2 linked regions of the Mus musculus genome follow. The protein of the gene in region 1 binds, or shares a complex with, the protein of each later gene. Links are inferred from orthologs where the notes say so. Each region holds a gene or a part of one and is shown on either strand. Other genes may lie near its edges.

Region 1 (10,283 bases):
ACACCCACACACACAGTGCACACAATAAAAAAAATGTAATGATAAACAATAAACTTTATAGCCATCATGGTGGCTCATACTTTAAATGCAGCACTCAGGAGGAAGAATCAGATGGATCCCTGATGGCCAGCCTGGTTTATAGAGTGAATCCAGATCAGCCAAGTCCTATCTCATAAAACAAAGTATAGCTCCCACCCCCCACCCAACTGCCTAGAGAAACTTGCTGTTATATGACCAGATTTGCTAGAGAGCAAACCCTGGTGCCAGGCAAGTACTGCTTGCTTCAGACAAGACACATACTACCATGCTACCACGAAGTTAAGAATTCTACTTTAACACTTCATTTGCCAACTTCTGGGCACAATTTTAGCACACTGATGCCTCTGTAGTGATGGACACCGGCACTTACATGAGCCACACGTGCGTACGTTCATGTGCGTGTGCATGTGTGTGTCCGTCCATCACTGGGCCCCAAGCAGAAACCTAGGTTAAGAACATTTAGGTTGCTAAGGCTTAGGTGATTCTTTCAGGCACTGAGATGCTGAGGCCACCCTTCTTCCCTGTCCCTCAGCTGCTGTGCGTGATGCATGACCCACTTCACCATGTCACTCAAAGTTTGAGTTCCATCAAAATCCTAACTTCTCTGGACCTGTGTTCTAGGTGAGGGCTTTTCTATTTGTCTTTAGCTCTTTAGAAGGCAGAGCCCCTTTCTCCTCTGTACTGTTGGGTTCTTGGTGTGTTGATAACCCCTGATAATACAGATCCAAGCCCCCACCCCTGGTTATTTTAATAGCATGATTCACCCCACCTCTTTGCTCTTCTGCCAAATATCCACACACATTGTGGAACTGGGAAGACTATTAATGCCAGTCAGACCACAGAAAGGCAGATTAATGGAGTTTCACCCAGCAGAGAGAGGCTTCTACACATCTAAATACTTCTCCAGGACCCTCAAAGTTTCTCTTTTGCCACAGACTCCACTCTCATGCAGTTTGAATGATTTATTGGTGTTTCTGCTAACGCTGCTACCCTTTCAGTGTGTTTCAGCCATCAGGAATCTTAAACCCGTCCCCTACCAGTGGAGCCATGCTACTTCCTTGTGTCTGCCAAAATGCTCTTAGCATGGCTCCTTTTTCTTCAGCTCTTCCACTTTAGCAATGTAGATCCTCATGGCATCCATCTTGGACATCCCTTTGTTTACCATCCAGGCCTCATATTTGGCCTTTGCTCTCACATCTGTGGCAGGAGGGACAGGGATGTTACAGTCGCCCTGGGTGGCCTGTTTGTAAAAGCTGTACACCAGCAGTTTCTCCTGATCACTCACAGGCCCCTTCAGCTGCTTGAGTGAAGCACAGGCCATTTCAAACTCCACTTGGCTCATTGGTATACCAGAGGCAATGCTTCTGTTTTTAAGTGATGCGGGGTACTAGAAGAAAGTTGGAAATAAGCAAACCATGTTATTGTTAGGCCTTGGAAAGAAGGGGTAAAGAGATAATGTGTGGGATGAACACGGGGCGTTTGTGTGTTTAATAACGTACAAATCGAGGACCAGGAATCCATTCAATTGCTCCTGCCCCGCAGAGCTTTTTCCAGTGTGACTGCCCTTCAAAGTTATAAAAGCACCTATGAGCTCTGAAAGTTGACTCTGCTGTTGCCTATAGGAGATAGTGCAGCATGAAAAGCAAGCATATAGGGAGTTTTGTGTGTCTTGGGGGGGGGGGGGATGAATCCCGTGGATCCGCTGCTGGTTAGTACACAGCTGAAGGAAAGTTATTCCATGTGGGTGAATCCGGGGCGAGAGCTGCCCGGGGTTCCTGAGTGAGGGTGAATGAGGGGTCTGGACTAAGGGGTTCGACCTCCTTGCCTGAAGGGGTCAGGTTCCACATGGAGACAGCCAACAGTACCTGTGGTTAAGAAGGCTGGGAAGCCTAGGCCGAGAGGGGGCGCTGTGGCTAGGGTGGCTTCGACGCTGCGAGCTTGTTGGAGAGGAGTACGCGTGCGCCTTGAACGGCAGCGGCTAGCAGACTACAGCACGGAAGCGGAGAAGCGCTGTGGGCGGAGCCTGTGACGCGCCTGTAGCGCCGCCCTTTGTGCCGTGGCGCGGGCAACGCGTTCGCGGCCTTGGACTAGGAGGGGCGGTCTAGCCCGCCGCCAGCGTCGCCGCCATGGACCTAGGTGGGTTCCCACTTCCCTACTCCGGCCCCTGGGCCGCACCCCCCCAAAGCACCTCCTGGGCAGGCTGAGGCTCTGCACTGCTCCTACGGTGCTCGGGAGGCTGGGGGCTTGAGGAGTTTTGGGGGACCCGCAGTCGCGAGGCCGGCCTCCATCCTGTAGCCCCACCACATGACGGTCTCCTAGAGTCCTCCTCCGTCCTTCGTAGTGTCTTCCCAGTGGGAAACCGGGAGCGAATATAGCCTTGATTCTCCTGGAAATGCTCAGGGCTACTGCACGTGTTTCGGAAATGCCGGGCTGGGAGGGACGGACGTCCGGAGAGTTCTTCGTTATTAAATGACTGCCGAGTTAGTGAACATGTTTCTTATTAGGTCGCCTAGTGCATAAAGCAAAAATACTGATACTGTCTTTCTCCCAGAGGCTTGGCGTTTTCTTTGCGACCACGTGCATAACAGGACCCCATTCGTTGACTCACGCAAAGCGACCACCCCACCCCCACCCCTCTCTTGTGAGCAGGAGTTGCGCAGCCTGAGATTTCACTTTTTGAATCCGAATTCGAGTGCTGCTTGGTTTGGAGTATCCTCCTAGGCGAGGTCTGGAAGTAAGGCGGAGTTGATAGAAATCTGTGGCCATCTGCCAACCCTCTCCACCCTGCTAGGTGTGCTCTTTAGAGGGTAAGACTAGGAGGCCGTCCTGGGAAGTACTCCAAGATTTGCAAATAATACGCTGTGGAGAAATGTCTTTGTCCCTAGCCAGCTCTTTAGTGTGGAATGGTAGTTTCGTGCCCTGCAGCTGTGAAGAGTGCTGCCAAGGCTTGACTCCCTAGTTGAGACACCTTGCAAAGTTGTGCCTGGGCCTCTAGCTTCCCATCTCCAAAACAGGAGTTATAATCCTCAAGAAGTTAGTTTGACGATTACATGATTTTTATAGGTGTCAAGCTGGGTGTGGTAGCTTATGTCTAACTAGCACTCTGGAAGCAGAGGCAGGAGGATCTCAAAATTCTAGGCCGACCTGGTCTGTATAGTTTCAAGCCAGTTCCAGCTATATAACAAGAGCCTATCTCAGAAAAAAATACAAGTATGCCACCCAGCACAGTGCCTACCAAAGTAACCAGTCACTTCCTAGCACCAGCTACTGATTTAAAAAAAAAAAAAAAAAAAAAAGCCTTTGAGTTTCCCCTGGCTATGAGCTGAGTCTGGGACTTTTCTCAAGCCACATGTACACAGTCTCTGAAAGGCACATGTTTGGCCGCAGACATTTGCTCTGCTAAGCCGATGTCTAATGCAATAAAATGTCATTTACAGTTATAAGGAAATGTGTTCGGGGGCCGGCAGACCAACCTGAGACAGAAAGAACCCTGGATTGCCTTCAGGTCTGGGTTTTGTGGGAGTGCTGAGCCTTGATTTGGGGTGGGCAGGCAGTGACAGTAAATGGTTAGTGGCCAGGAGATTTTTTAGTTGCCTGGTGTCAGTAATTTTTTTTTTTCCCTGGGGGTAGGAGAAGTTTGAGATGGTAGCCATGATGTAGCCTTGGCTAGCCTGAAACTCAGTACGTGGACCAGGCTTGCCTCATAAAAATCTGCATCACTAGAGAGCTGGGACTAACGGGATAGGCCACCACAGCTGTTCACTGGAGTCAGTACTTTTGCTGCCGACTCTGGCCTATGAGAATAGGGCAGATGTGTTTCTGGGAGCATAGAGGACTGAGGAGAGAGCTAGCAGTGACCGTGACAAGGTGTTGCACTCAGCTTCTAGGCCAGATTATACACTTTGGGAAAGACCTGTGCCCGTCTGTTTCTGCACTGGAGGAGACAAAATATTGACAAGACTAGTCCTGCCAACACTTGAGCATTTAAATCAGGCTCTTGATGGTCTGATTATGGTTAAGATAGCTTATATAACCCATCCAATTCTTCCATACCTGGGAGATGCTTCAAAAAGGTAACAATACCAGAATAGTTACAAAAGTGTGATTAGTGTATGTCCTGTGTCATGTGGTTCCCATACCATGAAGATTATAGTCTCATGTATATATGCATACATATATTCTCATGTATGCAGACGGGAGACTCAGTAAAGTGTAAAGTCACATCATGTTTTAACAACTGAGTTAGGATTTGAATCCATTATCTTGATTAAACCCCCACATGGCCTCCCTTTAAATGTCAGTTCTTAACTCAGTGAATGAGTGACCGCTGTCTTGATGTAATATTTGTTTTGTCCACTTCCTGGTTCCTACCACAGAGCCAGAACCTTCACCAGCTTGTCCTTTTTGACTGGAAGAAACTGCTGGGTGAACTTTTTCCCTGTAAGGCACAGAATGTTGAAACTTGTTGAAGCAGGAGTGTGCTTAGAAAGAAGGAAGGCAGGGCTCCGGATACAGCTCAGTGGTAGAGTGCTTGCCTGTTACATGCAAGGCTCTGAGTTCAAAAACAGGCTTAACTGAGTGTGGTGGCACAGGCTTTTGATCTCAGCACTCAGGATGTAGAGGCAGACAGATCTGAGTTCAAAGCTATCCAGTTCATAATGAGACCCTGTCTCAGAAACAACCAAAAACACTAAGACAATAAGCACCTCCCATCCCCCAAAGACTACCTATTGTATCTTCCATAGTCTGCCATCACTGGACTCAGTTTTGTTTAGGTTTTTTGTTTGTTTGTTTTTTAATTACATTCTTGGTGTGTATGTGTGGATACCACGGTGCACAAGTGTCAGTCAGAAGACAGCTTGTAGAGGTTACCATATCAGTTCTAGGGCTCAAACTCAGGTCATCAAGCTTGGTGGCAGATATCTTTAATCATGAGCCATGCTGCTGGCCTCTGTCATGTCTTTAATGCATATGTGGTAGCACTGTCCCCTATCCTCTACTCACTGTAACCTCAGCAGTCCAGTTGTCCTCTTCACACTTTGCTGAGGAATCTTAGTCACTTCCTTGATTTTCATGCACTTCTCCGAGTTGGTACTGCCTACACTCACATCAGGCCTTTTCTCCTTCACGCATTGCCATTGCTGAAGGACATCACTAAATGTTCTACCTCAGACTCTAGGTAACAGCACTGAACTTGTCTTCCCTTAAAGCTTGTCCTGAGGGGCCACGAGCGATGACTCTGTAGTTAAGAGCACATATGTTTCTTGTAGAAGTCCAGAGTTTAGTTCTCAGCAACCACACCAGTAGGCTCAGTCCAGCTCCAGAGGACCCAGCATCCTCTTCTGGCCTCTGTGGAAGCTGCATTCATATGCACAAACCCCCACAGATACAAACACATTATTAAAATAGAATTTTGTAAACACTTGAAAGCCTGTTCTGAATCCCTCTCTGCCTCCTATTTCCAGAGGTGCCATTGTCCTGATATCCAGGCCAAAGATCTTAGAAACTGGTTTTTTGTTCCTCGGCCAAGACCTTTTGACCCCAGCCCTTTGTGAGCTCTTACTAACCATGCCTTCCCCTCCCATTGATGTCAAGACCGTAGCCGAAATGATAGCCATCCGATGGCTGTTTCCTTCTCCTAGCTTCTCGCTAATCTGATGACTTCATTACCTCTTGGCTTCTCTGTGCAGGACCCTTGAATATCTGTGAGGAGATGACTATTCTGCATGGGGGCTTCTTGATGGCTGAGCAGCTGTTCCACCCCAAAGCCCTGGTACAGTTGACCAAGTCTGATTGGGAACACGTGGGACAGCCCATTGTGGAGGCCTTGAAGGAGATCTCCTCAGCCACAGCACATTCCCAGCCCTTTGCCTGGAAGAAGAAAGCACTGATCATCATCTGGACCAAGGTTCTTCAGCCCTCCCCTGTCAGCCCTTCTGACACTGATACTCGGTGGCAGGAAGATGTATTCTTCTCCGTGGGCAACATGATCCCTACCATCAACCACACAGTCCTTTTTGAGCTGCTCAAGTCTCTGGAAGCTTCTGGACTCTTCATTCAGCTGCTAATGGCCTTGCCTACCACCATTGGCCGCTCAGAACTACAGAGCTTCCTGGAGCACATGACTGTTGACACATCTTCCAAGGATGTGGCCTTCTTCTTAGATGTCTGGTGGGAAATGATGAAGCACAAGGGCGACCAGCAGGACCCCTTGCTTTCCCAGTTCAGGACGATGGCCCATAAATACTTGCCATCCTCAGATGAGTTTTCCCATCCTCCAAAGAGGTTTAAGTCTGACCCAGATGTGGGTCCCACCATGCCTCTTTTGGCCATGTTGCTTAACGGGCTGAAGCAGATCCAAAAGAGAATCCTGTCCCTTGGAATGAAGTGCTGTGCCTTAGCTAACTTGGCTGACATGCTGAGTGTGTTTGCACTTCTGGAGGATGACACCCAGGAGGTGTCGGCCACCGTGTACCTAGACAAACTAGCTACAGTGATCTCTGTGTGGAACTCGGACACCCAGAACCCATACCATCGACAGGCCCTGGCAGACAAGGTAAAGGAGGCAGAGCGAGATGTGAGTCTCACCTCACTGGCCAAACTCCCCAGCGAGACTGTTTTCATGGGGTTTGAGCTTATGTACAACCTGCTGCAAGAGTGGGGTGCAGAACTGCAGGACATGCTCAACAGCAGTCAGGGAACAAATTATGACACTTACCGGCTGTGTGACAGCCTGACTTCCTTCAGCCAGAACTTGGAGCTCTACCTGGATACTACCAACATGCCCAAGGAGGAGAGGGAGGTGGTCTCAGAATTGGCTGAGTGTGTCAGGGACTTCCTGAGGAAAACCAGCAGAATGCTGAATGACAAGGGCCTTGAGGACATCACTGCCTCCATTGCCATGGCCATCATTGAGCAGAAGATGGACCGGCACATGGAAATGTGCTACATTTTTGCTTCTGAGAAGAAGTGGGCCTTTTCAGACGAGTGGGTTGCCTGCCTGGTTAACAACAGGTCTCTCTTCAGAGAACCAGACTTGGTCTTGAGTCTGCTAGAAACAGTGATGGAAGTCATCAGCTCTGATCGGGTTATCCCCCAGCCTCAGATCAAGCAGGTAATCTGCTTGACCCTGGAATGCTATGAAGACCTCTCTCTTCCAGACAAAAATAAAGTTCTTTCTGGTGTCCTGCATTATTTGGGGCCAAAGGGTCTCTCAGACAGGTTGTCTGATTACTTGGAGGGTTTTCAGGAAGACCTCAACACGACGTTTAACCAGCTCGCACAGAGTACCTCTGAACAGGGCCTGGCTAAAGCTGTGGCCTCCGTGGCCCACCTGGTGATCCTGAACCCAGAAGTTGTGGTGAAGAAGATGTGTAGCCTAGCTGTGACCAATCTTGGCACACATAGGTTCTTGGCTCAGATTCTCACTGCCTTCCCTGCTCTGAAGTTCACGGAAGAACAAGGGGCAAATCCATGTACCAGTTTCATGGTGTCTTGCCTCAAAGAAACTGTCTGGACCAAGTTCTCCACACCCAAAGAAGAGAAGCAGTTTCTGGAGCTGGTAAGCTGCCTGACGAATCCTGTGAAGCCACAGGGGATTCCAGTGGCTGCTCTTCTGGAGCCAGATGAGGTGCTCAAGGAGTTTGTCCTGCCTTTCTTGATGTTGGACATGGAGGAGGTGGGCCTGAGTCTGAAGCTCTTCATCCAGACCCTCGAAGCCAATGCAGGCCTGGAAGAGTATTGGCTGCAGACCTGCTCCCCATTCCCTCTGCTCTTCAGCCTGTGCCAGCTCCTGGACAGCTTCAGCAAGTTCTGGCAGCTCCCCCGGGAGAAGCGCTACCTCACGCTGGACAGCAAGGATCTTGTGACCCACATTCTGGAACTCCTCTGTGAGATCGTGCTAGCCAACACAGAAACCTTCTCCCCAGACACCTGGGCCAAGTCCCTGTCCTGGCTCCACCGCAAATTAGACCAGCTAGATTGGACTGTGGGCCTGAGACTAAAGAACTTCTTTGAAGGCCACTTCAAGTGTGAGGTGCCAGCTACCCTTTTTGATATCTGTAAGCTCTCTGAGGCCCAGTGGACCTCACAGGTCCACGAAGGGTATGGGCCTGGCACGGGCCTTCTCGCCTGGATGGAGTGCTGTTCAGTCTCCAGCAGTATCTCTGACCAGATGCTTTCCCTTCTGGTGATGGATGTGGGCAATCCTGAGGAGGTCAGACTGTTTAGCAAGGGCTTTCTGGTGGCCCTGGTACAAGTCATGCCTTGGTGTAGCCCCCAGGAATGGCAGTACCTTCAGCAGCTGACCAGGAAGCTATTGGAGAAACAGCTTCTTCATGTCCCTTACAGTCTAGAGTATATTCAGTTTGTTCCCCTGCTCAACCTGAAGCCTTTTGCCCAGGAACTTCAGCTCTCTGTTCTTTCTTTGAGAGTGTTCCAGTTTCTCTGCAGCCAGAGCTGTTGTAACTGGCTTCCTTTGGACGGTTGGAGCCATGTGGTCAAACTCCTCTGTAACAGTCTGACCAGTGTCCTGGATGCAGTCAGGTTGATGCAGTCGGTGGGTCCCTGGGCCCAAGGACAAGAAGGGGATCTTACTCAGGAAACCCTGTTTGTCTATACCCAGATGTTCTGTCATGTTCTGCATATCATGGCCATGCTCCCTCAGGAGGTCTGTGAACCCCTCTACGTGCTGGCCTTGGAAATCCTTACCTGCTACGAGACTCTAAGCAAAAGCAACCCTTCTGTCAGCTCCTTGCTCCAGAAGGTAGACGAGCAGCGCTTCTTAAAGTCTATCGCCAAGAACATTAGCCCTGAGGAGCGGCGCCAAACCCTGCTACAAAAGATCAACAACTTCTGACCTGTTGAGGGCAGAACAAAACTATGCCTCCGTCCACCGTGGTGTTTCTGCAGGGCCCAGAGCTAAGAACAAACAAAGTTATAAGAACGTACACAGTGAAAGGAGTACAAGAGCAGTGTAAAGAAATAGTTTTCTTAGATATTTGTCACATACTACTTAAATAAAATTCTCTTGGGTTTAATCTTATCTTGAGCCTTTCTCAGAAGTTTGGGCTTAAATATGCTCCAAATTAGGTTTAGGTAGTCTTTAAGATCAAGTCAAGCCAGTAGGACAGGTATGGGAGTGTACACCTGTAGCATCAGCCTTCAGGAGGCTCAGGCAGAGGGTGGCAACTTGGACTGCATAGGAATATCCAAAAGTTAAAAAAAGGCCAGCTGGAGAGGAACATGTTTGTAACTGAAATTCTCCACCTAGTTTTGGCAGTAAGCCCAAAGTTGGAGCTACCGAGTGGGGGGTAAGGGGGAGGAGAAACGTTATATGTTCTTTTTAGTGACATCCTCGTGGAGTCTTTTCAACTAGGCTTGGTAGAAGTACATCCTTATAAGCCCAGCATTCGGGTAGCTGAAGTAGAAGGCTCAGTTCAAGGCCAGCCTGGGCTACTAGCAAGCATTTTTGTATTCCATCTTCTTACCAAGGTTATCTCATAAAGGGCAGATGTGGAAAGGGGCTCACTCAGCGCTGGTTGACTTGTGCCAAAGAGGCCTGCACCAAGGAACACTGTTAAGGGGGTAGTAACCATCGCCTCAGCACATCCGGGAGAGGTGCTAAGCCAGGGCTGCTGAATAGCTGGTGCCCTTGGAGGGTGGCTATAATTACCTTCTTCCTGGGGTGAGATTGTTTTGGTTTTGATGACTGAGTGGCATAGGCAACAATACAGAAGCATAAAAATGAAAGCATAAGGTTTCCAGGGCAATGTTACACAACTCTTAGAACTGGTTAGGGGAGGTATCATTTAGGGAGGTGAGAGGAAAGGTCCCATCACCTACTTACCCACACCCTCATCTAAAATGGTTTACTCCTCTGGTACTCTTCTCCCACCTAATGGAAACTGTGGTCAGCAGGCAGGCAGGCAGGCAGGCAGGCAGGCAGGCTTCCACCCTCCCAACTTCTAGTTGGGATCCACCAGAGGAAGGAAAACCTGAAGTTAAATGTGAGCACTGAGCGTGAACTCTGGGCACCTTCCGTGTATCCTTTGGTACTTTGAACCAACATGTTGGACTATGAGTAAGACCTGCCTAGAGGCCATTTGCCTTCCGTGACCAGACTAGGAATTACCGAAAACGGTAGTCAGGCTGGGTCTCGGATGTTTGGGGAATTCGGCGCCAGGGCACATAACAAATAGAGAATTTAGTGCAATTTAATTACTATATGGATGACTTGTGGATAC
Region 2 (10,822 bases), on another chromosome or scaffold:
GAAATCCTGTCTCAAAAAAAAAAGAACAAGTCTGACCACCGAGATGTTGTGTGACTGGCAAAGATCAGGACTGTCCAATTCTGTGTAGGAGATGCTTGCCAGGCTCTCAGTTAGGTCATGGCTGGTTGACTTAGAGAGTGTCAGTCAAGTTTGTAAAATAATGTACCAGGCTCCTATCTCTTTAGTGTTAGATATATAATAATCTTATAAATTAAAAGATATTCTTTTAGTAAAGGGAGTTTTTGTTTGTTTTATTTTGGGACAGGGTCTCCTTGCCTGGATGGCCTTGCCACTCCTTCTTCCCCCCAGAGTCATCTGGATAGCTAGGGTACTGAGTGTATGTTATCCTTTCTTCCTAGGATTCAGGGCTTGGTACTTTGTTTGTTCTGATCAGGGTATTTTGTGAAGCAGGATTAGGAACTAATAAAAACATTTTAATATGAATTCAAAACACAGAGACTAGTGGAGAAAGAGGCACTCAGAATACACACCCTAGAACATCAGTGTGGACTTCTCAAGAGTCACTTTAGGGTTTTGGTGTTTTGCTTTGTTTTCAAAATTATTGGGCCTGGATTAAATATTAAGTTTTAAGTAGTCAGAAACAAAGAAAAACATATAATTAGAGAACTTTTTTTTTAAAGATTTATTTATCACTATAAGTACACTTTAGCTAGAGGGCATCAGATCTCATCATGAGTGGCTGTGAGCCACCATGTGGTTGCTGGGATTTGAACTCAGGACCTTCGGAAGAGCAGTCAGCGCTCTAACCCACTGAAACATGTTGCCAGCCCTAGAAAACCCTTGTTTTTGTTTTGTTTTGTGTTTTTTGTCTTCTTGTCAGATAGGGACTCACTGTGTAACCCTGGCTGGCCTGGAACTCCTGTGTAGACCAGGCTGGCCTGGAACTCCTGTGTAGACCAGGCTGGCCTCAAACTCAGAGATCCTCCTGCTTCTGTTTTCTGAGTGCTGGGAGTCATACCTGGCCCAATTAGGAAATTTTTAGAGTAATTAATACATATCCTTCACATGAAATCTTGAGAGTATATTTTAGTTTTTGGTGACTTTGTGGAGGACATTGAGACAGTCCTAGCCAGGCTGGCCTATAAGTCACTGTGTAAGCCAGAATGACCTGACTTCAAATCCTCATGATACCACACCCAAACCATGTGCGTAGCTACTATAGCCGTACATGTTGTGCCTAACTCCTTGTTCTTCACGATTGACCTGCATCTAAGTTTGAAGGTACCTCCATCACACGCGTTGTAAGTGCCAGCAGACGGCTCAGTGCCTTCAAGCCTGACAACTTGAGTTCAGTCACCAGAACCCACATGGTAGAAAAAGTCCATGGAGAAAGTCAACTCCTGAAGATAGTCCTTCCATGTACACACACATACACACACAGTCACAGAGATACATGAAATTTTTAAAAATCACTCAGTGATCCTCCTGCCTCAGTCTCACAAGTACTGAGTGCTAAGATTACAACCACCATTGCCTGGTTAAGAATATGATTTTAATAAATAAAATTTTTAAAGTATGAAATGTTTTAAAATGCTACTTAAAAACATTAGCTTTCTTTCATTTGAAGCAGTTTTATATATTCTACAATAGCAAGCCAAGTGAATAACAGTTTATAAGAGAGTCGAGTGAGGAGGCAAGCACACATGCTTTGTACCTACAGAGGCTACACAGGGGCATTAGATCCCAGGAGCTGGTGTCTCAGGTGATTTGAGAGCCACCTGTATGAGTGCTGGGACCTGAACTTGGGTTAGCAAATAGCCTTCACTGCTGAGCCATCTCTCCAGCCACTTTTCCTCTTATTTATTTGTTTATGTTCCCCACAGTACCAAGACTTAAGTCCAGTGTCTAACTCATACTCGCCAAGTGCTCTATCACAGAGCTAGATCCCTAGCCCTTGGGTTTTTTCTGTCTTTTATTTGGCAAGAAACTTACCAGTTTGCACAGAAGTAAATGAAGCCCCTCTTGTGTTGTCATTTAGTAAATACCTTTTTTTTTTTTTCCAGGTTGGTTTTCCTCCTTTGCTTAGTATTGTAAGCAGAATGAATCAGGTAATTGTCACCAAATAATACATACAGTCTTTTGCTTACAGTGCATATGAAAGGGTTTGAATCTACTTACCCAGTGTTTACAGCCTTATCCTAGGCCTTCAGTGATTCGGATTACGTTTTAGTGTAGGAAATTAATGTTAATAGCTGTGTCTTATAGCTGAGGAAACAGGATTTCATCATGTAACCAAGAATCCCCTGACAGTGGAGCTTGTGTTCCTGACATGGTACTAAGTCTTCATTTGTGTACATTCCAATTATAAGCGCTAAGTCTGCATCCAAAGCTCACTAAGTAAGGCCAAGACACAATTCCAGTTGTAAAGGGCCTGCCTCGGCCTGCAGTCTCTGAAAACTGATAACTTACTGGACCAAAGCGGGAAACAAATGGGATTTCATTCTTCAGTCTTTGAGGAATAGAGACTTTTTAATGTTCAGCAGTGAAGCCGGTTAGTGCATGTCTTTAATCCCAGCACTCAGAGGCAGCGGCAGGTGTGTCTCTGCGTTTGAGGCCAGCCTGGTCTACATATCAAGCTCCAGCATATCGAGGTCTCTGTCTCAGAAAGGAAAGACGTACTTATAGTTAAGGTCTCTTATTGAGTTTTCTATTAACATTTAAGGAAGGAAATATTCTGAAGCATTGATAATTTCATTTCTATAATTTTCAAACATCCTTCTCTAGCCAAGTTTGTTTCTCCTGAGATTTGGTTTTCTGGTTAATCTGAATTGGTAAGTAGACTGAAGGGTCTTTTGTAGGAGTGTTTGAAATTTTTCAGTAGTTACAAACTACTTTTTAAGCCTAAGATTTAAAGCCTAAGTTTTATACTTCAGAGTATAAAAATATTTCTCTTAAAGGATTTTATAGCCATGTATGCAGACTCATGCCTGTAATAGTAGCACTCCAGAGGCAAAGGCAGGAGGATGGCCACAAGTTCAAGGCCAGTCTGCTCCATATTGTGAATTCGGGCAGACCAGGGATACAAAGTGAGACACTGTCTCAAGAAACAAAACAAAAAGCCAGTTGCTATGTGTAAGCCATCTAATGAAATTACTCCTTACTCATGGTGTCAAGAACAAAGACATTTTAACCCTCAGAGCTGCTTTTTAACCGCAGTTACTTGAACTCATGTTGAACTTCTCAGTATTTTACCGCTAATGTCACTGTTTCCTGCCCCGCCTCTCCCTCCCTCCTTTCCTTCTTCCACCCCACCCCCACCCCCATCCTTGTCTCTTTTTAAAGACAACCATTACTAGTGTCTTGGAATATCTAAGTAATTGGTTTGGAGAAAGAGACTTTACTCCAGAATTGGTAAGATTGCATCTTTTTCTTTTCATTATATAGGCAAAATTACATTTACTTATGTGAGGTGTGACTGCAGGTTTTTTTGTTTTTGTTTTTGCAGGGGTTTTTTTTTAAGATTTATTTCCTATTATATCTAAGTACACTGTAGCTGTCTTCTGACACACCAGAAGAGGGCTTCAGAACTCATTACAGATGGTTGTGAGCCACCATGTGGTTGCTGGGATTTGAACTCAAGACCTCTGGAAGTGTAGTCAGTGCTCTTAACCACTGAGCCATCTCTCCAGGCCCCGTGACTGCAGTTTTTATACTTGTGGGTGGGGGGGTGGGTGCATGCGCACGCACACATATAAGTATTCATGTGTTCTGCATATAAAATTCAAATCTTGTATATAAATGTATTAGTCAGGGTTCTCTAAAGTCACAGAACTTATAGGTCGTCTCTATATAGTAAAGGAATTTGTTGATGACTTACAGTCTACAGTCCAACTCCCAACAATGGTCAGCAGCAGCTGTGAATGGAAATTCAAGGATCTAGCAGTTGCTCAGTCCCACATGGCAAACTGTCAAAGAAGGGAGAAAGCCTTCCTTCTTCCAATGTCCTTATGTAGTTCTCCAGCAGAAGGTGTAGCCCAGATTAAAAGTGTGTGCCACCACACCTTTAATCCCAGATGACCTTGAACTCAGAAACTTCTACCTCCCAGCCTCCAGATTAGGATCTATGGTGAGCCTTCCAATTCTGGATTGTAGTTCATTCTAGATATAGTCAAGTTGACAACCAGGAATAGCCACTACAATAAGTAAGGACCTTATACCAGAAGATAAGTCAATATATTCTCCTCCTTGAGAAAGCCATAGAGACTGGGAATGTCATGACATCCACCTGTAAATTGCAGTTCTTGAGAAGCGGACACAGGAGTGTGAGGGCAGCCTTAGCTTCATAGTGAATTGCAGCTCATCCTAGGCTGCAGAAGATCTTGTCTCAAAAGTAGAAACAAGCCGGGCAGTGGTGGCATATGCCTTTAATCCCAGCACAGGTAGATTTCTGAGTTCAAGGCCAGCCTGGTCTACAGAGTGAGTTCCATGACAGTCAGGGCTACACAGAGAAACCCTGTCTTGGAAAGCCAAAAAAAAAAAAGAAAGAAACAAGGAGCAAACAATAGTAGATAATACTATTAGATAGATAATAATTATTAGTAGATAATAATGCATTGAATGCATTATTCTACAACCATTTTATACAATTCTTCACTAACTAAGCCCCCTTTTACAGGTAATAAAATATAGCTGAGTTAGTAGATTGTTTATAGTCACACAGTCTGTCAGAGGCAGACTGTATAACTTTACTTGGGGTTTTCTCATCCACTTTTTAAAAATGGAGTTGGAGTTTATTAAAGATAATTTAATACAAAATTTAAGCACGGACATTAAAGGAAAAACTTTCTAAAGAAAATTAAGGCACACCAGGAACCTGGGTGTGGTCTTCTCTGAGAGCCACCCTTTCACATCCTCAGGCAGGTGTAGCACATGAACCTGCAATCCTAGAACTGGGTAGGCAAGGGCGGGCAAATCACGTGAGTTCAAGGCCAGCCTGGGCTACAGAGCAAGCCTGAGTGAGGCCAGCTAGGACTACGAAGAAGGCCCTATCTTAGTAAAAACAAGTTTTAATATTTTTTCATGAGATGATACACATTAAAATCAATGCTACTGATTTTGCCCTAGGGTCAGACCCGTCTTTCACATAGTTTTAATCATCTTATATATTGTAACATCCTGAATAGCAAACATTTCAAAAATCAGAAATTTTAGCTAGATGACAAAGACAAGAAATGTTTCTTTCGGGCTGGTGAGATGGCTCAGTGGGTAAGAGCACCCGATTGCTCTTCCGAAGGTCCAGAGTTCAAATCCCAGCAACCACATGGTGGCTCACAACCATCTGTAACGAGATCTGATTCCCTCTTCTGGAGTGTCTGAAGACAGCTACAATGTACTTACATATAATAAATAAATAAATCTTTAAAAAAAAAAAAAAAGAAATGTTTCTTTCTATTTTCTTAATATTCTTAACATTTTTATGTATAAACTATTACTACTTTTATATTTTGTAATTGAAATAGCATTCAAGAGTATTCCTACAGATAGCCCCAGAATATTGTGGGGTTTTTTTCAATGTTTATTTATTTATTTTTAATGTGCCTGCATATATGTCTGTGAAGGTGTTGAATCCCTCTGGAACTGGAGATATAGCTAGGTGCAAGCTGCCATGTGGGTGCTAGGAACTGATCTCTGGTCCTCAAAAGAGCAACCAGTGCTCTTAACGACTGAGCCGTCTCTCCAGCCCCCAGGTTGTGGGCTTTTTTTTTTTTTTTTTTTTTTTTAAGGAAGGGGTATTCACTTCGGCTCAGGTCCAGGGTCCTCATTCCCATGCTGCCTGGCTCCATTGTTCCTGGCTACACAGAGCGTCATGAAGGAAGGGACAAGCAGGTGCTTTACAGTGACCCTCAGCCCTCAGTTACTACTGCATTTCCAGACACAGTCTCAGTAAATTGGTCAGGCTGGCCTTGAACTTGTAGACCTCCTGTCTCAACCTCCCAAGACTCTAGCACTACACGTCCACCAAACCTAGCAATTTAGAGTTTTGCTTATATACCTTTAGCTTTATAAATCTTTAATCGTAGCACCCTAGAGGCAGAGACAAACATCTCTGAGCTGAAGACTAGCCAGAGATACATGAGACTCTGTCTCAAAAAAACTCAGAACATTTTTGCTTATAATAGAGAATCTCAGGACAAGGCATTCACGAGGCAGAGCAATAGATTTCTGTGAGTTCCAGGCCAGCCAGGGCTATGCAGTAAGACCCTGTCTCAAAAAGGTGTGGGAGGGGGACTAGAGAGATGGCTCAGAGAGTAAAAGCACTAGCTGTTCTTCCAGAGGTCCTGAGTTCAATTCCCAGCAACCACATGATGGCTCACAACCATCTGTAATGGGGTCCGATGCCTTCTAGCCTGCAGGCAAAATGTTATATACCAAATAAGGGAAGCGAGGACCTCAATTGTAGTACAAATATAGACATAAGTTCATTGGGAATCAGGAACTATTTTGAAGTATGTAGTGGCCTAGGTCTGTGGTTAGAAAACAAAAGTATTCACCTCTCTAGACACTGCCTTGATTCATTTGTAGCGGGTAAGCAGGTAACACCATCGAGCATGTAGAAAAACACAATAAATGGGTTCTTCATTGTTTGTCTATTAATCACTTCTTAAATTTTTTCTTAGGGAAGATGGTTTTATGCTTTGTTGGCTTGTCTTGAAAAGCCTTTATTACCTGAGGCTCATTCACTAATCCGACAGCTTGCAAGAAGATGTTCTGAAGTGAGGCTGCTGGTGGTGAGTTATACTGTACTATTTCAGAGTCTGTCTACTATGGTAGAAAAGAAGATATATGAGATAAAAAAAAATGTGGAATGTTATTAGTTGGGATTAAGGAGTCTACAGAAACAAAAAACTCAAATAGAGTATATTAAATAACAAAACTAGATATGGTGGCACATGACTGTAATTCAGCATCTAGGAGATGGAAAGGGGAGTATTGCAGTTCAAGTGCAAACTGGGCAATAGCAGAAAAGACCTTCTCTAGAAAGGGGGGAGGCCAAGCATGATGATGTGCATCTTCAATCCCAGCACATGGAGGGCAGAGGCCTCGCTGGGAGGCCAACCAAGGCTACATAGTAAGAACCTTATCTCAAGAAAATAGTATGGGGCAGGGGGACAATGAAGTTTGTTTCTCTCCAGTAAAGGAAGTCTGAAGGTCCAGACGAGATCTAACATGACAAGATCCTAGTCATTGGTTCTGCTGTTATGACTTCATCCTTCTCTTAGTTTATTTTTGTTGCTGTAGCGGAATACCTGAAGCTGCTGTTTATAAGCACAGAGGAATTGAGTCAGGACCTTGACTATGCTAGGAAAACCCTCTATCCAGTTTACAAAGAAATTGATTTTAGTTCAGTTTTGAGAGCTCAAAATACAAGCTCAAAGGCCCCGTCTGGTCTACCTTATATTTATATCATCCTTTTAGGGAGGATCATCTACCAGGAGTAAGCTAAGGGCAGTTCCTGGCTGACGTTCAAGAGGGGAAGTGTCAAACTCACTCTATTTAAACCCTCAGTTTCCATAAAACTACAACCCTTGAAAACGGCAATACAGCCGGGCATGGTGGCACACCCCTTTAATCCCAGCACTTGGGAGGCAGAGGCAGGTGAATTTCTGAGTTTGAGGCCAGCCTGGTCTACAGAGTGAGTTCCAGGACAGCCAGGGCTATACAGAGAAACCCTGTCTCGAAAAACCAAAAAGAAAAAAGAAAACAGCATTATAAGTCCTTCAGAACAGCATTATTCTCTAAATAGTGATCTTAGGCTGGTGATTTGAGTTTGATCCCTCCAAACACACACACACCAAACACACATACTAAATAGAAACGTAATTTAAAAATAAAGAGATTGTAGCTGGGGCTGTAGCATTGTTAATCACAATGCTCACCCAGGATGCACAAAGCTCAAGGTTCTAAACACAGTACTGCATAGTTCAAGTGTGGGACCCCAAGCCTGTCAGCACTGAGGAAGCAGAGGCAGAGGACCAAGGACAGCCTGGTGACTACTTAGGAATTTTGAGGCCTGGCTGGGATACATGAAACATTGCCCCAGAATAAAACAAGGGGCCTCTTATAAGTAACTAATAAACCCTGGTATCTGGGACCTCCCTACCCCCAAGTGGTTGTCCTTAAAGTCATATGCATACAAGGAATCATATATGCACTGAACAGATTATATATTCAAGAGAGAGAGGGCGAGAGAGAGAGAGTGTGTGTGTGTGTGTGTGTGTGTGTTTGTTTGTTTGTTTGTTTGTTTGTTTGTTTTGTGCTGGCCTCAAACTCAGAAGAGAGTCATGATATTGAGAGAGCTAGATTGGAGAGAGGAAATTTGGGACCAGGGAAAGTGATCTATTTATATTTTAATTTTATAAATGAAAGATGGGCAGGTGAGAAACCCTGTCTCAAAAAACCAAAAGAAAAAAAAAAAGAAAGAAAGAAAATACTTATGGAAAAAAAAAATAGCCTTTTTCTATTTTTCAGGGCAGTAAAGATGACGAAAGAGTCCCAGCTTTGAATCTGCTGATCTGCTTAGTTAGCAGGTGAGTTAAGAAATTTAACTTCATGTTTTTCCTTGTTATCAGTAGTAGGCAGAACATGTTTAATGCTGTGTTAATTTTCATTTGCTGTGTATTTTTATCTAGTATGTTTGATTACATTTCCTTTTGTCTTTTAATCTGTACTGGATGGAACCTGTACCTGTCAGGCAGGGAGTCTACCAACCAAGCTCTATCTCGTTCCTTCTATCAAAGTTCCTGCTGAATTGATTTGAAAATACAGCCTGTATCTAAGGAAAGGCACACATTGATTTTAGGTCTCTTCCTGGACATGCTTTGCTCATTGATCAGCAGTTTGTTTTGAGGTTTGGTTTGGTTTTGTCTTGCTAACACCTCTCTAAAGCTTCATATTAACTAAATACCCTCAAGTTATCCTTCCCTCCACCAAACAAGATGTATTTTTGAAAATACACACATAGTAAACACCTAGTTCTTGATCTATAATCACTATGTTTAATTTTCCTGGTGCTTTCTTCCAAGCATTTTTCTTAGTGTGTCATAATAGGAACTCATTTAATCCTATACCACCCAGTTTAGAGATGAGAAAACTGGCAAAAGAATGCAAAGTGCCTTTGCTGCTTCCTGAACATCACAGAGCTAGCTAGTGTATGGCAGAGACAGGACCCAAACCTAGGCAGCTTTACAGAAGAGCTCCGCATTCCCCCACACCCTTTGTATGTGTGTGAGTGTTCCCCTGTTGGGTAGATGTGCTGTGGTTTAGTCTTTGTTGAGTCATTGTGTGCTTTTGCTTCTACAAGCAGTGCTGTCCTTGATAAGTGTGCACACACTGAATTCTTTTTCTTACTAGGTATTTTGATCAACGCGATTTAGCTGATGAGCCATCTTGATGGCGCTTACCTCCTAGGGATGGAAGATGATTCTGTGGAAGGAGCCTAAGTCTGAGAAACACAGTTCCAACCTGAGGACAGATTACATCACTTCTTCAAGTTATGTGAAGGGCTTCATCTTAATCTGCAGCTCAAGCTGATATTCAAAATATAGATTTGATTGGTTTAAAGTGTCTGAAATGTCTGTGAAAAAGCCCATTTGGTATCTGATGAGCAATTGGAACAGTTTTCTCTTTTTTTGGGGGGTGGGGGGTGGTGGATATGGAGACAGGGTTTCTCTGTGTAGCCCTGGCTGTCCTGGAACTCACTCTGTAGACCAGGCTGGCCTCAAACTCAGAAATCTGCCTGCCTCTGCCTCCCGAGTGCTGGGATTAAAGGAGTGCGACACCACCGCCGGGCTGGAAGTTTTCTTAAGTTGCATGCATTGAAAAGAGGTCAAGTGTGACTTACTACTTAAGCAGCTTGTATAAAAACTGATGGCATTTTATACAGGCCCCTGGGGCTGCTTCATTGGGTTTTTTTTACAAGTATACATATATATTTATGTTGAAATGTATTTTGTCTATGGAAATTTTTTTGACTCTTGAACAAAATAAAAGACACTGGATGTCTTTAGAGTTGAAGTTCATACAGATGAAATGGCAAATCTGTTCATAGTCGACAAGACTAATCCAGTGTTCATGTTTAAACTCAATAGTTTTAGTTTAATTTCACCACCAAAACTTCTAACAAATCATTTTCAATAATGTTGTAATAAGCAACACATGGTAGTGCACACATAGCATCTTGGGGTTCTAAGCCATTTTGGGATACATAATTAGACTCTACCTCAAAAAAATCCAAGGACTGGAGGTGGAACACCAGTCAGGAGAACTCGCTGCTCGAGAGGACTTGGGTTCAACCTGAACACCTATATAGCAACTGACAACCGCTGAGACATCAGTTCCAGAGGCTCTGACACCTTCTGTCTTCCTGATGTCAGGCATGCACAGGGTCTACATAAAGACAAAACACTTCTGTACAGCGAAGTTAAATCTTCAAATTAACATCTAAAAACAACTGTCCCTAAAGCTTCATGGTTTTGCTGATTTCTTTGGGAGAGGAGGATGCACTGGGGGACTGGTAAACTGTCAGTTATTGGGTGGCTTTTGTTATTTCCACAGCTGGTTGCTGAGCATGAAGTTGTATATGCTACTCGCAGTAAAATTTCTGAATGGATACTATTTAAAAAGCAGTTTAGCTTATGCAAGTATAAGGAATAAAAATATGACCTTAGTGCAGTTCCATCCTTACTAGCACACTAAAGGATTTTTATTGTTGCCAAGACAAGATGGTATTCTTTAGCCAGCGTTGCCTGCAACTCTGTAGCCCAAGATGGCCTCAAGCTTGAATGAATCCATGCCTCAGTTT

The links. Proteins that work in one complex are often made in the same cells at the same time.
Region 2: Gemin4 (region 1) and Gemin2 share a complex: the UniProt entries of both Homo sapiens proteins name them as parts of the SMN-Sm complex. The link is inferred for Mus musculus from reciprocal best matches to the Homo sapiens genes GEMIN4 and GEMIN2.

The regions. Positions count from the first base shown.
Region 1 is NC_000077.6:76,209,370-76,219,652, reverse strand, and holds Gemin4 (gem-associated protein 4), read left to right. Parts: upstream 1-2,080; 5' UTR 2,081-2,165; coding exon 2,166-2,175; intron 2,176-4,942; exon of another isoform or gene 4,943-5,397; intron 5,398-5,709; exon of another isoform or gene 5,710-5,729; coding exon 5,730-8,896; 3' UTR 8,897-9,082; downstream 9,083-10,283. Other genes in the region: Dbil5 (diazepam-binding inhibitor-like 5), read right to left, coding at 1,118-1,381. UniProt on the Homo sapiens protein: The SMN complex catalyzes the assembly of small nuclear ribonucleoproteins (snRNPs), the building blocks of the spliceosome, and thereby plays an important role in the splicing of cellular pre-mRNAs.
Region 2 is NC_000078.6:59,018,365-59,029,186, forward strand, and holds the end of Gemin2 (gem-associated protein 2), read left to right. Parts: intron 1-2,024; coding exon 2,025-2,069; intron 2,070-3,303; coding exon 3,304-3,372; intron 3,373-6,638; coding exon 6,639-6,749; intron 6,750-8,490; coding exon 8,491-8,549; intron 8,550-9,372; coding exon 9,373-9,412; 3' UTR 9,413-10,106; downstream 10,107-10,822. UniProt on the Homo sapiens protein: The SMN complex catalyzes the assembly of small nuclear ribonucleoproteins (snRNPs), the building blocks of the spliceosome, and thereby plays an important role in the splicing of cellular pre-mRNAs.